Linked DNA regions of Oreochromis niloticus. The protein of the gene in region 2 purifies or fractionates together with the protein of the main gene of each other region. This does not show direct contact. Links are inferred from orthologs where the notes say so. Each region holds a gene or a part of one and is shown on either strand. Other genes may lie near its edges. The genes, in order: lamtor3 and map2k1.

Region 1 (8,346 bases), on a different chromosome or scaffold from region 2:
CAAACACATGATAAAAATAACCAGGCAGGCAAATCGGAAATACACATTAAAATCTCAAACGAAATGACAAACCTTTGAACGACTTTAAAACAAAAACATAACCCTCAGTATCTGGAAAGGGAGATTAAAAAAACATAATCACGTGATTACTTCTTCTTCTTGATTTTAGTGGCTGGCAAACTACAAAGTGTCGCATTAGCGCCACCCACTGGTATAGACCTGAAAGGTGCTCAAAAATCACTTTCTTCTCTTTTTGTAGTACATTGATCACCTTTCACTTTACTGAGCTTGGATCGGTTGCCTATTCTCTATTGGTGTTTTTCGTATTTGATGTAAACTGCACAGAGAAAAACACCAACAGATGAATATATGAATATGTATTCATTATATGAATATGTCTTCCCTCCATCATTCCTTTCTTTTCTTTCCCTAGTTGCTTTTCTACGTTTCCCCAGTTTTGGTCTTATTATGCTCTTTATTTTATCCAGCTGCCGTTGGTAATTAGATCAACTGAAATTCTTTCTTTGGCTTCTTTTACAGCCAAATCTAAATGTTCTTTTCCTTTTATCCCATAATTTGCTGATAAGGGTGGTACATTGTTTCTGTGCTTTGCACTGTCACCTGAGAGCAAAAGATTTTCTGGCTTAAACCCTGGCAGGTTCTCCCTGTGCTTGCAAGGGTTTTCTCCAGCTCCTATGAGACATCCATGTAACATTAAGTGGTCATACTAAACTGGCCAAATGTGAACTAGATCATCTTAAACAGTGTATCTTGATTGTGGCCCTGTAAATTTACCCAGTTCCCAGTGATAATAGTTCTCTTTTGATTTCTAGTGGCATTTCCTTCATCTGTATCTCTAATACTGTTGCTGGGGTTGATTTAAACACAGTGTGCAACGTCTTAGAGGCTCTTATTGAATACAGTTTAACTTGTACAACTGTTGCTGAACCATACCCGAGATCACAGGTATCAAACTCCAGTCCTCAAGGGCCAGTGTCCTGAAACTTTTCCATGTGTCCCTGCTGCAACACACCTGAATAATATAAGTAGGTCATTAGGAAGACTGCAGTCAGCCATTTGATTCATGTTACAGCAGCTCATAAGTGAATGAACATGGTGCAATAAACGTACTTTTAGACTTTACTTCACTTTAATTTACTTCAGTAGGATTAGGGGTTGCCACCTCAGCATGCAGTGGAGTTCTATAGAGTCTTGCAAATGACCTACTAATTTTATTCACATGGAAAAGTTTCAGGACACTGGCCCTTGAGGACTGGAGTTTGACATCCCTGATCAAATACTGATCTGATTGACCCGGTGTATACAAATTTCTATCTATGCCCATTCGCTTCCAACTAAACACCTCGTTACATTTGATACTTTTTTGCATTCTTCTTGCACACATTGCTCCGTTGTCTGCAAAACATGAAATCCTCCAACCCAGGTAGATGAACTGCAGGTGAGTAATCATCCCAGAGAGGGACTTTCCACAAGTATAATTATTTGTTTCTTAGATGGGAGAATATAGGGTGGTACCCTGGTAAGTACAGATAAGTAAACAATGAATAGTTAAACTTGTCCTGTGAGCAAACACTTAGTGACAGTGTAAAGGAAAAACTCCCTTTTAACAATAAGAAACCTCAGGCTAAGGGAGGAGCAGCCATTCTCTACAACCAGTAAAGGGAAAAAGGGAAAGAAGAGAGTAAAGAGAGACAGAATCAAAGGCAAACCATGTAAGAGAGAAATAATCGCTAATTATTAAATGCACCAGTGGTGTATAAACACAAAGAGATTGAAAAGAGATGAATAAAAAAGAAATGCTCAGTCCATCACGGGAAGCTCCCCAGTCTTTTGCAGCATAACTAAGGGGTGGTACAGGGTCACCTGATCCAGCTGATACACTTTATCAAAAATGGGAACCTTAAGCCTAATTTTATAAGTAGAGAGAGCATCTGCCTCCCTAATTGAAGCTGGGACCTAAAAGTAGCGCCTCAAAGCTAAAGGCTATGTTTTCCATTCAACTTTTAAAAAATCTAAGAATCATAAGGAACCCTGCAGTCTGAAAGCAAAGTTAGGATAATGAGGTATGAGGTCTTTAAGACACAGTGGGGCATAATTATTCAAGATTTTGAATTCTCTCTGCTGCAGCCAAAGGCTTCTCAAGCACCTTTCAGAGTGACCTGATGGAACTCTCTAACTGTGTGAAGCTGTGATTAAAACCACTTTGTTGCAGTTACTTTAATACCAACAGTTTGTATCTCTGCAGTAAAATACTGTGCTCAATAGTAATGAATGTTGCACTGAGCATCTAGCAGATGCTGAGTCTAGCAGAACAGGCACAGGGATGAGTTAACTGTCAGAGGCCATAAGAAGACAATTCACTAGTGCTGTTTCTGTGCTATCATGCACTCCACATCCTGACTGAAACCCTTGAAACTGTTCCTATGCAAATGATCAGTGAACTGCTTGACTACTACTCTTTCAAGAATTAAAAAAATAAATAAAACAGGTGCGTCAGCCTACAGTTTTGGGAACAGGTAAGGCATCACCCTTTTACCTGTTCCCATAAAGAAACTGAGACTGCCTCTCTCCTTCTAGTATTCTCTCTGCACAATAAAGGGAGGGTCTGTATGTAAAAGCAGTTCTCTGACCAGACTGCTTCATGTGTATGGCGTGGCAGTGCGATTTTCCACTGTCTTTAATGAAAAATGGTGCTTTTGTCACGGTACTGTGTCTGTGACCCAGTGTTTTGCGTGTTTTAGTTTTCTTCTTTGGTTAGTGTTATTTTCTCAGTGTTTCCTGGTTTATTTTGAAAGAGTCTTGTGTGTCTTTGTCATTGTGTTTCACTTCCCCTGTCTAGTCAGCTGTTTCCCTGTGTGTTTTCACTTCCTCTGATCACCTCCTGTGTGTATTTAAGTCCTCGGTCTTCCTTTGTTCATTGTCAGGTCGTCTGTTTCCCTCCACGTCTCGTCACAGTATTCACAGTCGTCATAGTTGATTCATAGTTCTACAGTCTTGTCACAGTTTTCATAGTTTTTTAGTTTTTCCCAGTTTAGGTTTCAGTTTAGCTGTCGCTCCTTGTTTTGCCTTTGCTCAAATTTTATGTTCATGTCTACCAGCCAAAATAAACGACTCGCTTTTGTTTATGATGGGGAGCTGAGCACCCCTAAAACTCTGAACCTAAATTTGCCCCTCCCCATTCTTACATGATCTAAATTACATTTTCATCTAGGTCAGCGAAAAGAGGTTAGGAATAGACGATAGGAAGTACCTTTAGAGAGTGATGGGATGCACTGTGCCAAGGCTTCGGAGTGTGTGTCGAAATATCCAGGAAGTATTTTATGAAACGTGAATCGAGGCTTGTTTCCTTAAGAGTGAGTGATGTCACTGACGACGCCTGAAGCCTGGCTGGTTCAGAAAGTGGTGGTGTGATTTTTGCTCATATATGGAAAGCCGTGGATTCCTGTAAAATTTGTGTGTTAGTGTTCGTGCTTGGAATCGAGAACTGGTTCTATGGGCTCAAATGTGGTCATAAATATTTTGTACTTGTAAATCAGGATTTGTATGTGTAAAAAGAATTTGTGCGTGCGTAAAAAAGATTTGTATGTGTAAAAAAGATTTGTGTGTGGACTTAGCCAAAAAAAACCCTGCAAGTTACAAGTACGAATTTTGACCCTATTTTTCTTCCTGTCATCTGATTGGTCAGTGTCATGTCAATCACAAATGTAACAATCCAATCAGAGAACAGATGGGTTTGGCTGTCGGAGGGGCACTTTTTTGAACTGCAGGTCCTTGAAGGGTAATACAGTTTGAAGCTGGAGGATCTCTATATAAATATCCGATAGCAGCTAGGTCCCCTTACTTTCAGCAGCTGTTGAAAGGATAAAGTTGTGGTATGTCAGTGGTTAGAAATACCATTATTACTTTAGGATTAGTTTAACACAAAGTCAGGGCTGACCCGGGACCATTGCTGTGAGTCACAGTGCGCAGCATAAAGGTCCTTTCACATCGGACGCAGGATGTGCTGCTAATGCTAACTGCTAACTAAAAGCAAAGGATCCAGAATTTGTTGCGCTGGCTGCTGAGCTCTGTGGGTTTTTGCAGCAGCGCTACCTGTACTAGATGCACCTGCTCCTTGTCGTTTCTATCTCTGACTTTATGTCCTCTACAACAGTTTCTGGTTTTTTTGCTAGTTCTTTAAATGTTCAATAAAAACATGTATGCTAATTCATAACGAAGAAAGCTTTGTAATGAAGACTGTCATTTCCAAAACACTGCCCCCCCCCCCCGCGGTCCGCAGCGCTGTTGAAAAGGCTGTGGAAGTCCCTGTATAAAGCACGTAGACCTGTGACACAAAAATCACCAAACTCGGACGACCACAGACTGTTTTCCTTCGTGGTGATGAAGGAAAACGCTGGGTTGGCATGTAAAAGGGCATTTATTCCCTTCAAGGACCTGCAGTTCAAAAAAGTGCCCCTCCGACAGCCAAACCCATCTGTTCTCTGATTGGATTGTTACATTTGTGATTGACATGACATTGATCAATCAGATGACAGGAAGAAAAATAGGGTCAAAATTCGTACTTGTAACTTGCAGGGGGGTTTTTGGCTAAGTCCACACACAAATCTTTTTTACACATACAAATCTTTTTTACGCACACACAAATTCTTTTTACACATACAAATCTTTTTTACGCACGCACAAATTCTTTTTACACATACAAATCTTTTACACATACAAATCTTTTACACATACAAATCTTTTTTACGCACACACAAATCTTTTTTACACATACAAATCTTTTTTACGCACGCACAAATTCTTTCTACACATACAAATCCTGATTTACAAGTACAAAACTGATTTACAAGTACAAAATATTTATGACCACATTTTGAGCCCATACGGTTCTTGTACAGAACCAGTTCCTGGTAGAACAATTCCTTGGACTCGTTAGTCTGCCAGTCTATCAATGCCGCTGATCGACTCTTGCATTCTCACTACGATCATATGGACATTACTTTTATTTTTATTGTAAAAAAGGATGAGATCGTGATGGTAAAGTGGAGATTGATCCAGGACAGAAACTATTATTATTATACTGTTAAAACAACTTCGGCTCTTTGCAAGCACCTGTGCAGATAGCATGCTAATGCTAAGCTAGCCAAGAACCCAGACTGATGTTAAAGCTGAGTGGATGCTGACCCGTGAAAAAGTCAGCCGCTGCTGAACTTCAACAGATAACAAAGGGATGAGCAGTCAAGGTGCAGCCTCCATTTCTATCTGCTCATGTTTCTACGGTAGAAGCACCATGACAATCACTTTAAAGTGTCTTTGTGCTGGTTTTCATCTTTGCTTTGTGTTGTCAGCTTTGTGTTCATGTCTAAATACTAAGAGAAAGACATGTGTGTTCTCATCAGGATAGGGATTTGTGTTGGTGTGTGGGAATGTAGCCTCTAGGTTTATATTGTTAATTGGTAATTATGAGACAGTGTGTTTCAGATCATTTTACAGACTAACATGAAAGTAACTTAACGAGTAGTATGAAGAATGTCTTTGTCCTGGGTGTAATTAAATAACGTACTGCATTACTTTTAAGGGTTCCTCCACAACCTAATTGGACAGCTAGGATTTAGAAAAACTGACAAACAGCTGGTCTGTTTGCCTAGAAGGCTGAGTAACTTAACATAATCTGCAAAGGCCCTGACAGGGCACAGAGCAGCCTGGTGCCAAGCTACCTCCTGATTGAAGCCCCAAGTGGGAGCTGACTGTAGCTCAACCGACTGGGACAGTTGGAATTCAGACAGGGCCTTCAGCAGGAATGCATTGTTGTACCAGATAATTACCCCTTTCTCGTCAATATGGACTGACAGAGCGTGGGTCTCGCTAATCCTCCTGGCAGATGCTATGGCCACCAAAAAGGCCGTTTTGAGGAAGAGCAATTTCACATCAGCATCCTCAAGTGGGTCAAAGGGAAGACACTGAAGGGTGACAACGACCAACTCCAGGTCCCTTAGGAGAGCCAGGGGTCCAGGCCTGCAAACAGTCCCCAGCGGTAGGAATAGGCAGCCCTTGTGGATGGTGCACAAGACTCCTGCAGAGTTTCTATCACTGGCTCAGGCAGCCCTAAGGCAACGAGCGGAAAAAACACCAGGGCATGCGGATCCAAAGAGGTACCACCAGAATCAACCTCAACCTGTCCTTGGTCTGAACCTGGCAGAGGACAGACTCGAGGAGGGAGAAAGGAGGGAAAGCATAGAGTAGAGTCTGGGGCCAAGGGTGGGCAAGGGCGGCCCGCCCCTTGTCAAGGTAGTTCGGGACCCTGAGGCCCCGTAGGCTCACAGGTGCGAGAACCGTCCGGGGAGTTTCCCCTTTGAACCCGAACCTCAGGAACTGCCCGTGCCCCTGCCAGATTGGTATCTGAAAGTAAGCAGACCTTTTGGTTGATAGTGGCAAAGCAAAAGTGGCAAAAAACAGATTCTTAAATCCGATTAATATTTGACTCTCCAAATCCAAATTTTTGTGGTACTGTGAATAAGAGTTTCCAGTTTACCTCATCAACAGCCTTTTGATGTCCACTGTAACAATAACTGATTCTTTTTTTGTCTGAGAGACTGAGCTAATAAATTTAATAATCTGTGTGTTACTCGGGGAGTGTTGACATTTAATGAAACATGTTTGGTCTTAATATATTAAGCATTTCAATTCTTAATGCTTTACTGATCATTTTCACATACTTATTAATAAGTGAGAGGGGTAGCTGGATAGTTGTGTGGGGTCTTTAAGATAAAGATATAAGTTGAAATCAGTGCTGGCCGGTGGTAACACAATATTTTGGGGGTGGGGGGCAATTGGGTCACACAAAATAAAGCATTTTACAGGTCAGGACAAAAACACAAATTTAAAATCTCCACAAACACTTTAATATTCCTTAAACCTGAGCAATTGAATAAAATTTTAAAACACAAATATTGACACAAATCTTAACGCAAAGTCCCAGCAAAAGTTCACACCAGTCTATGATTCCAGACAGAACGTGCCAGTTTTTGTCGTCTCTTTGGTGTGCTTCAATGTGCTTCTTCTGCCAATTCTATAGCCTTCATCCAGCTGTTCTACTATGTTAAGCCTGCAAAAAATGTGTAGCTTGATGCTATTGTCCAAAGAGCTGCAGCTACTGTCTTGTCTTTTGCACTTTTCTGTTAAGTGCTTTAAGTCCCGTATACCCATGGTGGTCCATAATGTTTTGGCACCAGGACTTTACAACAGCAGACACGGAAAGCAAAAGAAGGTGTTATTCACATTACGTCCCGTAAGCCATCTCCGCTCGTAATATAGCGTGCTGGAGAACGACTGTATATATGCTCTTCCAAGATCCATGGACTGCTGCTGAATATCTGATTCTGGATGGTCGGGTCCAAGCTCTTTAATTCTTTTCTTTTCTTTGGCCGACTGCCTTAAAAATGGACGTTGTACATAAACAACTGAATTTAACTGAATTTAACTTTACCATTTCAGCAGAAGTTGCCATCCTCAGTCAAGAGCTGGCTAACATGTGAGTGCTTGTTCTTCTTCAAGACAAGAGTGCCTGTGCTGTGACAATGTGTGAATGATGATGTTGGATTGTATTGTGTAAACATGTAAATGGTTTAAGGCAACAGCAGAGAGTGTACATTCAGATAAACTGCTGGCTTAGGTTGGCACAATCTTTGAATATGGAAGACAGCAGCTGTGACACCTGCAACATGCAGGGGGTAACTCTGTCTGCTCTACATGCTAACACCCCACTTTTCAGTTATTTATTTGTAAAAAATGTTTGGAATCATGTATGATTTTCGTTCCACTTCTCACGTGTACACCACTTTGTATTGGTCTTTCACCTGGAATTCCAATAAAATTGATTCATGTTTGTGGCTGTAATGTGACAAAATGTGGAAAAGTTCAAGGGGGCCAAATACTTTTGCAAGCCACTGTATATATGTGTCCATATTTTTTGAATGTATACATACACATATACACACAGCATATACACATGTGTCATCCATAGATATAATAATATATATAGTTGCACATAACGACACACAAATACAAGCACACACACAGATGAATCGACAGAGACATACACCCCCACCTGTACTGATACCTCCACATTCACACAAATCTAGGCTCAGCATATGGTTCTGGTTTCTCATAAAGAAGGTCTAATGTACACAGTTTAATGTTGTTATAATATGTGAACACGTGTTGACATATGTGTGATCTGTGACCTTTGGAGTGTGCATGGCGCCTAGATGTCTGCCGTATATGGAAAAGGGAGCCTTCCCTTCCAGAGGGCCACCTTAAGTACGA
Region 2 (8,697 bases):
AAAAAAACAAAAAACAGAGATTCAGAATTCCTGATTGTTGCCTCATCCCAACATGTTGCTCTTTAGTCCATTAGAGCCCGGCCAGCAGCAGCAGGAATGTGCTCGACTCTCGCCAAACATTATGTCATCATCAATAGCTCCTAATGAACAAAGCAGAGGCACAGCTCATCTGTTTAACATTGTCAGCACCCCAATCCAACACTGATTACTTTAAGTCCTGAAAGTTGATCTGTTGTGCTCACTTCAAGCTCCATGTTTTTATGCGTTCAGTATTTTTTTGTGCTTTTCCTGTCTTACAGACCATCCATGTCACACATTAGCCACATATTCATACAGCACTTCACGTTATACATTGCACATCCATGGCCAATTTAGAATCAAACCAGTCGATCTTTGGGAAGAGGACCCAAAAGAAACCCATGCAAGCACATGGAAAACATGCAAACTCTAAAAAGGAAGGCGCAAGCCAATCGCAAGATTCATGTGCTGCGAGGCAACAGTGCTAACCACTGTACCTGACGTCATACCTTAACTCTACTACAGCTTTACACAATTCACAATTCAATACAATCCCCTTTCATCGTACACCAGCCCTTCATGCATCTCCTCACTTCATTCACAGTCTGAAAAAAAGCCATTTTAGCTCCCGTCCCTATAAAGCCCCTCTTTCTAAAAGCCCACTTTTGTGTTGTTCTCCTGCTTGATCAGTAGTGTAGAAATTCTGAAACCAACATACAAAACCTACACAATGTCCACTTTTCACATTCTTGCATACATGTTGGAGCTCAAAATCTGATCCAGAACAGAGCAGACAGCGACAACATCCACAGCAAAACGGATTTCATCAGAGTTACTCAATAAGCATTGGGCTCATTTTGATGTCACAAGAATGTATAAATAAATAAACAGTTTTCCTTCTTTCTTTCTCTTTTAGCACTCCTTCGCAACTAAGAAGGTATTTGGTCAAGCTCTAGAACTTGCAGATAACTCTTAAGTAGAACACTGAAGAAAAATGGTTCAGGTTCAGGTGATTCTTGGGCTCTTTCTGTGCCCATATAAGGACATTCCTGCCTTATTGACATCAACCAGGCAGAAGGAATGAAAAACAAAATGTTTGCAGCAGCCTTAGCTTTAGGTTCACAGGGATTACATGTACATGATTATCAGCCGATATATATTTTAATAGTGAAAAGATCTTTACATTCAGTATAATAGAATTCAAACTACAGCAGACTTTCCATCAAAGCAAGCTAAAGTCAAACATCTGCCCTTGGCTAAAAGTAAACTGAATCTTTAAAAATCAGAAGAGGAGGTTCTGTTTTTGGTAGCATTTACATGTCTCATTCCTTGCATCAATAAACATGATAACTCAAAAGGTTTTGAATGAATTCTGATAAAACTTTGTAGGGGTGTAGAGTGGGGTCATGTTAACAATCCATTCAAATTTGGCTTACATCCACCAAGGTCTTCAAGGTCAACCAAATGATTTGTTGGGCAAAAACTGACAAAAGCCCTATAAGTTTTACACCTATGGCATGTGTGACATGTATTGTCAACATATAGAGTGTATTGTATATACTGTGTAAAGATTTTAAATATGTCACTTATGACCTTTGACCTCTCCAAGGTCAATAGATTAATCTGAAGGTCAAAGTGATAATAGTGATCTTTAGAGCTATTTTTAAAACTATGTGTCTTACTGGTTAAAATTTTATAAAATGTATTTCATCTTTCAAGCTATGCTACAAATTCAAATACTGGGAACAGTTAAGAAATGATACTGGTTTATGGGGATTTTAAATACCACATTATAGTTTGTATCCAAATGTCATGTCATTTGACCTTTGGCCTCACTTTTACATTTCTACTACTCTAATTTGTATCTTACTGAAAACTTCTTAAAGTATATTCCTTCCTGTTTTTTTTAATGTTTTTTTGTATTTTGTAAATCTTAATGTGGTGGACTAGTGGACACATTAAAAAAAAAATCTTTCTTGTTGCTTTAAAATTACCATTGCTTAATGCAAAATGGTATTCAAACATGACTCAGTGTCATTTTTTTTAGTCTTTAATTCATTGCCAAAGACACAGATGGCCTTCAGATGTGTGCTCTAACAACGAAACAATGATATATTCAGACTCTACAACGCATCAGAAAAGCAGCCATCATAACCGATGACATGTTATGTAACTCTCATCTCCACTGATCCAGCTTGTTGCAGGACTCACTGGGCTTTTCTCAGCAAACTGAGGGCTAGAGGAGGATGTCAAAACAATTTTATGTCTCCATTACTGTGTTTTGTCAAACAATGGTGGGAGCAGGACTTTGCAGAACTTCTTCAGCAGACAGAAATATAATTCTGTGTGCTGCCTCGCTGGAAAGCTCTAACTCTGACTAATCACACCAAGTGGGCTGTGAGAGTAACAAGGAGACCTGTCCATCCATGACACCACGAAGAGGACTTGACAGCCGGATGTTACAGAAATATTATAATGAGAAACACAGTAACAACAATAATTTGTGAAAATGTGAAGTAAAACAGGAAAAATGAATGAAATCATGAGGATTTTGACAGCTATTTAGCACTTGAAATGATAAAGTGAAATGAGTTTCCAGTTTTCTCCATTTTACATCATTATAAATTAAACTTCTTTAACTATTTGATAGCTGATTAGTGTGTAACAAATAGTCCACTGAAGTCTACTGAATTATGATTTAGTGGCTGTTTTAACAACATTCAAGCATTTTCTAGAGCCAAAAAATTATCAATGTGATCAACCTCTGTTTATTCCCTGTTTTATTTCAGTTTGAACGGAGTATCTGTGTGTCTTGGATTGTGCTTGAAGAGTAAATCTAATGAATTAATCAATCAATCAATGCTGTAACCTATAAAAATGCAACATGCAACCCAAACCACATAAGCTATTTGAGGAACCATTAATGGGCATGTGTCAGTAACTTTTCAGATTTAAAAATATTTCATTTTCTCAGTACAGCAACTGATAACAATGCCAGTGATCAATAGTTGCAGTAGAGGACAAGCTCAAATACTTGGTGCAGAGTACTCGAGCACACACACATACGGTATTGGCTGCTGTCATACCGAATCCAACATACATCAGGTTATGTATCAGAAAGCAGTTATCTGTGTACTACATTCCCCTATCTGGATATCAGAAGCAGATTAATATTGACACTCACTCTGTGGCTCCGCTGCCGTTGATAGTGTTTCCATCAGGGATGGGGTTGAGTTGGATCGGCTCAGGCTTCCTTCTCTTCTGCATGTTACGTGCAAGAAACAAGCTGGTGTAAAAAAAAATATATATATAACAACAACAACAAATCAACACACGAGCTGCAGCAGTGTAGACGGAAGCCCGATACAGAAGAGGTATCTGATATTAAGAAGACACTGTTTATCGGCAGTGACTGACAAGGGAAGAAACAGGCAAGGGTTGTAATGAACTGCAAGGCTGAGCAGCTGATTTCTTCTTAATGGGTGGAGGTGAATGAAACGTCACAAAATATTTTCATTGGTCTTCCGGAAAGCGTGGCTGGGCTTGCTGCAGCTCTCCCTCTGCTGGTGATAGGCGGTATTACCATGCTGTTACTAAAGTTTCATTTAAACGAGCAGGAAGGCGGGAATTAAGCGCTCCACTAAAGGGAGCATATTAGCCAAAACTAGAGTAGCTTTGCATTTTTCAAAAATTATCTTTATTTATAAGAAATGCAGTCACTCACTTCATCCTAAAAACTGTTTGAAACATGTCATTTTAGCCTCTTTCTTCGGATTGGCTGCCCCTCCTAAACTGAAAGTTCTAATAACAATTGGGTGGGCCCAGAGCTGTGTGCTTTCAGGGGTATCCACTCTCAGTGACATAAATTATCTGAAACCAGGCACTTAAAGTAGTCTGAAATCTGAGTTTTTGGCTCACAGGGATTACTCATACATATACTGGCCTCTTTATTCGAAACTTCGGCCACATTTAACATGGCCAATGTTAAATATGGTAAAATATTACATAACAGGCTCTGACTATCATTGTCCAAAATGGCATAAAAACCTAATAGATTACCATAACATAAAAAAGGACTACTTTCCTCCACAGGGAACCACACAGTCTGCTACTGGAACAAACTCTAACCAGCAAGCAAATGACAATCACCCCACTAAGCAATAAGTATGATGCTTATGAGGGCCCACAAAATGGACTCCCTGAAAACCATCAAAAACCAGCTAGAACTAAATGGTGACAAAAAAAGTAAAAATATGTGATGGAAGTGTATTTCAAGACCTCATATGACCACTAATAACCTTGCAAACAACAGAAGGGACGTTATTAAAAACGAGACTGACAGAGACTGAAATTCAAAGGATAAAAGATGAAGCATCTCAAGAGCGGGGAAGAGATGTGAATCACCAAGAAAACAATGTTGCAGCATTAAGTGCTGAGGAAAATGAGCAGAGCGATGAAGTAAACCAACCAAATGAATCAGACCACCCAAATGCAACACAGTGCTGATGAAAAAGTAGAGGAAATGGTAAACAACATACTGAGAAAATGGGAGACTGTAAAAGAAACACTGATGAAAGACCACTAATGCTAAAGATTAAATGTGACAGGCATGCAAAATCAGCATTACAAATAACTAATAGAGCAATCATGGCTATTAATGGCTATTAATAGCCATGGCTATTAATCATGGCCACCATCTTCAACCTCTCACTGCTACAGTCTGTAGTACCATCCTGCCTTAAGTCAGCCACCATCGTTCCAGTGCCCAAGAAGAACACAGTGAGCTGCTTGAATGACTATCGTCCAGTTGCTTTAACACCCATAATTGCCAAATGTTTCGAACAGCTCATCATGTCACACATTAAAGCTGCCATCCCTGCAAACCTCGATCCACACCAGTTTGCATACAGGGCAAACAGGTCGACAGAGGACGCCATAATAACAGCTCTTCACACAGCCCTCACACACCTGGACTGTAGTAACACCTATGTGAGAATGCTGTTTGTGGACTTCAGCTCTGCCTTCAATACAGTTCAACCCCACAAACTGGTTAATAAACTAAGCAACTTAGGACTCAGCAGCTCACTGTGCAGCTGGATACTGGACTTCCTGAGCAACAGACCCCAGAACGTAAGAATGGGAGAGCACACCTCCTCCACCCTCATTCTGAATGTGGGTGTCCCACAGGGGTGTGTCCTCAGTCCCCTCCTATACTCACTTTTCACCCATGACTGTTCACCTATCCACACCAGTAACACCATTATAAAATTTGCTGATGACACCACTGTCATAGGACTGATCGACAACAACAATGATTCAGCGTACAGAGAGGAGGTTCAGCATCTGAAGCAATGGTGTGACGACAACAACCTGCATCTGAACACAGCCAAGACCAAGGAGATGGTAATCGACTTCAGAAGAACAAAGCGATCTGAGCACTCTACCCTCTACATTGATGGGGAGGAGGTAGAAAGGGTAGAAAGCTTCAAGTTTCTCGGAGTCCACATCTCGGCCGACCTTACCTGGTCCACAAACATCTCCCACCAGGTAGGGAAAGCACAACAAAGGCTGTACTTCCTCAGGAAACTACGTCAGGCTCAATTACCCCAAAGACTGCTAGTAAACTTCTACCGCTCCACCATTGAGAGCCTTCTGACTTACTGCTGCACACTCTGGTTCAACTGCTGCACTGCGGAGGACAAGAGGAAACTGCAGCGGGTGGTGAGGGCAGCAGAGCGGGCAATCGGCACCTCACTAACTCCCCTCAGAGACATCTATACTGGCAGACTTCAGCAGAAAGCCAGCATCATCATTAAAGACCCCTCACACCCTGGACACTCACTTTTTTCCCCCCTTCCCTCTGGTAAACGCTACAGGTCCATCAGGTCGAAGACAAACAGACTCAACAGAAGTTTTTACCCACAGGCTGTCAAACATGCCCTACCTCCACCCTGATTGGAGGATAACTGCACTGCCAACACTCATGGACATTACACCTTATTTATAAATCGTATTTCTGTTTATACTTCAATGCAAACAACACCCCTACCTCTTTAAACTGTATTTATTATAACATTATTTAGTATAGTTCCAACAGCACCCCCCACCCCACTCAATGTGCAATATCACTGATCACACTGCACCTCTCAATGCACCTGCTAGTTAGATGGCATGTATGTGTATGTATATAGATGTAAGTGTGTATGTGGAAATATGTGTGTGTATGCATGTACGGATGCAAATATGTATATATACATATATGTATGTATGTGCGTGTATGTTTGCAGGTGTATGTATAACTTGTACATATCTTTCTTGTGTAAATGTAAATTTGTCATTGTGTAAATACTTACGCTATTGTGTACTTCACACACATGGAGAGATGCCAAACTGCCTTTCACTGTTCTTGTAACAGTGACAATAAAAAGCTATTCTATTCTTCTATTCTATTCTAAGAATAGGCTTGATGATAAGCTATCCCTTGCTGAAGTGAACAAATTATTTTATGCCGCTGCCTCTGCAGTCAGTGACATCTTAGGCATAAAAATTAGGAGGAGGGGACACAAGGAAACAAAACAGAGACAATGGAAAAAAAAATAAATTGAAGAAGAAAACCAAAAGACAAGAAGTGAAAGTTGAATATTCACTGAAATCACTCGAGGAAATAATGTCAAGAAATGGAAAAGAAGAGTTCATAAGTAAAAACAAAAAAGTTTCACCAAGAATTAAAAGAAGAGGATATTATAATCATGGAAATACCAGATTTTAATTTAAAAAAAAACAACAAACTGTCAAAACATTTGGACTAATATCTGGGAAAAAGAAGAACATCATAATGAAAATGTTGAGTTGATAAAGGCCTTTGAAAAAACAAAGATACATGTGAACAAGCCAGAAATAACAGTGGAGGCAACAACAACAGCTATCCGAAAAATCCAGAAACTGGGAGACCCTGGGGAATTATGGCGTAACAAGCTTCTGGCTAAAACAACAGCACTACATGAAAACCTGACACGATCATAGAAAACCATGAAGGATGGCCTCCTTATTGTTAGTGCCCGACTAATGCAGTCGGCTAACAAGTGGTACTACTTAATCCTACACTGTATAAGACTTTAAAATGAATACCAATAGCCAGATCCTACAAGAATCTGGTGGACAACAACTTGCTAGCACTAAAACAAAAATACTGTAGTTATGTAGGAGTTATGTAGATCAACTACTTAATTATGGCTTAACTTAATAAAGCCATAATGAAGGCGATTAAGACTGGGAAAAGAAATAATCTTACTCCTTTTGGTTGACCACAAGAAAGTATTCAACTCTGTCCAAAATAAGAACATTTCAGGGAAAAATAAAATACAATGGGGAAGTTTAGTTGGTGATTCCTTAATTGGCTGTTCGAGTCACTGTGAATCTGTGTCTCTGTGTTACCACTGCAATAGACTGGCAACCTGTTTAGGGTGTACCACAACTTACTCCCTCTGACAGCTGTATTCGGCTCCAGTCTTCCTGTGACCCCGAATAGGATGAGATGGATCGATGGATAGAAAAGATGTCCTGTACCCTCTAAAGACATTAGATGGAAGAGGCCTTACTAACAAAACAAAAACATTGGACACATACCTCAAAAATAAAGAAGACAATCTCCTTAACAAAGCTAAAGATAGTGAAAGAACTACAAAAAAAAAAAAAAAATCATTATCACTGCACTAATGAAGCCGTTATATTCAAAAGAGAGCTCAATATGCCAAAGATACAACTAATGGAAAATGAGCCAACCACCAGCTAAGCAGAAATGGCAGGCAAACATCAAACCCTATAACAATGAAAGAGAAAATGGGAAGAAAATGCTCCGGACAGTATTTGAAATGAATAAATGGCAGAGATGTGGACCAAACAAGCTGCTGGCTTAAAACAGCAGGCTTACAGTCAGAAACTGAAGGGCTCATTATTCCTGCTTAAGATCAATACATTAAGACCAACTGCTATTGAAAAGATGAGGCTGAACTGAATTGAACTGAAACAAGATCTTGAAACATGGCACCAATTCAATGTCCTTGACAAATGTGACAACTTTTAAAAAGTGGAAGTAAACAAACACTGAATATGTGGCAAATAAGAAGAGACAATAGAACATCTAATGTCTGGCTGCTCTGAATGAACTCAAACAGAATAAAAAGACTTTTAGATCTGTCTATCTTAGATCTGTCAAAACAAACTGATAAACAAATCAAGACCAGCATGACTTAGTTAATTAGTTAGTTAGTTAGTTGTCTTCTCATCCCCCTCCCCTCACTGCCAACTGGTCATAGCAGATAACTGCCCCACCCTGAGACTGGTTCTATTGGAGGTTGGCCCCTAGGCAGTGCTCACAAAATGAGGACTTTATCCATTAAGATGGCATTGATAGTTCTGTTCAAGGGATAAACCTGGCCTGATGTGTGAACAGAGCAGGACTTTAGGAATGACAATCTCTGGAGAGATCTGAAAATGGCAGTGCACCATTGCTCCCCATCCAACCTGCTGTAGCTTGTGAAGTTTTGCAAAGAAGATTGGGAGAAACCACCCAAATAAAGGTGTGCCAAGCTTGTAGCATCCTACACAAAAATACTTGAGGCTCTAATTGCTGCCAAAGATGATTCAGGAAAATACTGAGAAAAGGCTATTTTGAGTGAA

What was found.
Region 1: the proteins of map2k1 (region 2) and lamtor3 purify together in Homo sapiens (affinity purification with western blotting; 3 studies listed by BioGRID, with this or other methods). This does not show direct contact. The link is inferred for Oreochromis niloticus from reciprocal best matches to the Homo sapiens genes MAP2K1 and LAMTOR3.

What each region holds. Positions count from the first base shown.
Region 1 is NC_031983.2:3,094,844-3,103,189, reverse strand, and holds the start of lamtor3 (ragulator complex protein LAMTOR3), read right to left. Parts: upstream 3,354-8,346; 5' UTR 3,272-3,353; intron 206-3,271; exon of another isoform or gene 73-205; intron 1-72. UniProt on the Homo sapiens protein: As part of the Ragulator complex it is involved in amino acid sensing and activation of mTORC1, a signaling complex promoting cell growth in response to growth factors, energy levels, and amino acids.
Region 2 is NC_031972.2:51,630,209-51,638,905, forward strand, and holds the start of map2k1 (dual specificity mitogen-activated protein kinase kinase 1), read right to left. Parts: upstream 3,509-8,697; 5' UTR 3,286-3,508; coding exon 3,203-3,285; intron 1-3,202. UniProt on the Homo sapiens protein: Dual specificity protein kinase which acts as an essential component of the MAP kinase signal transduction pathway.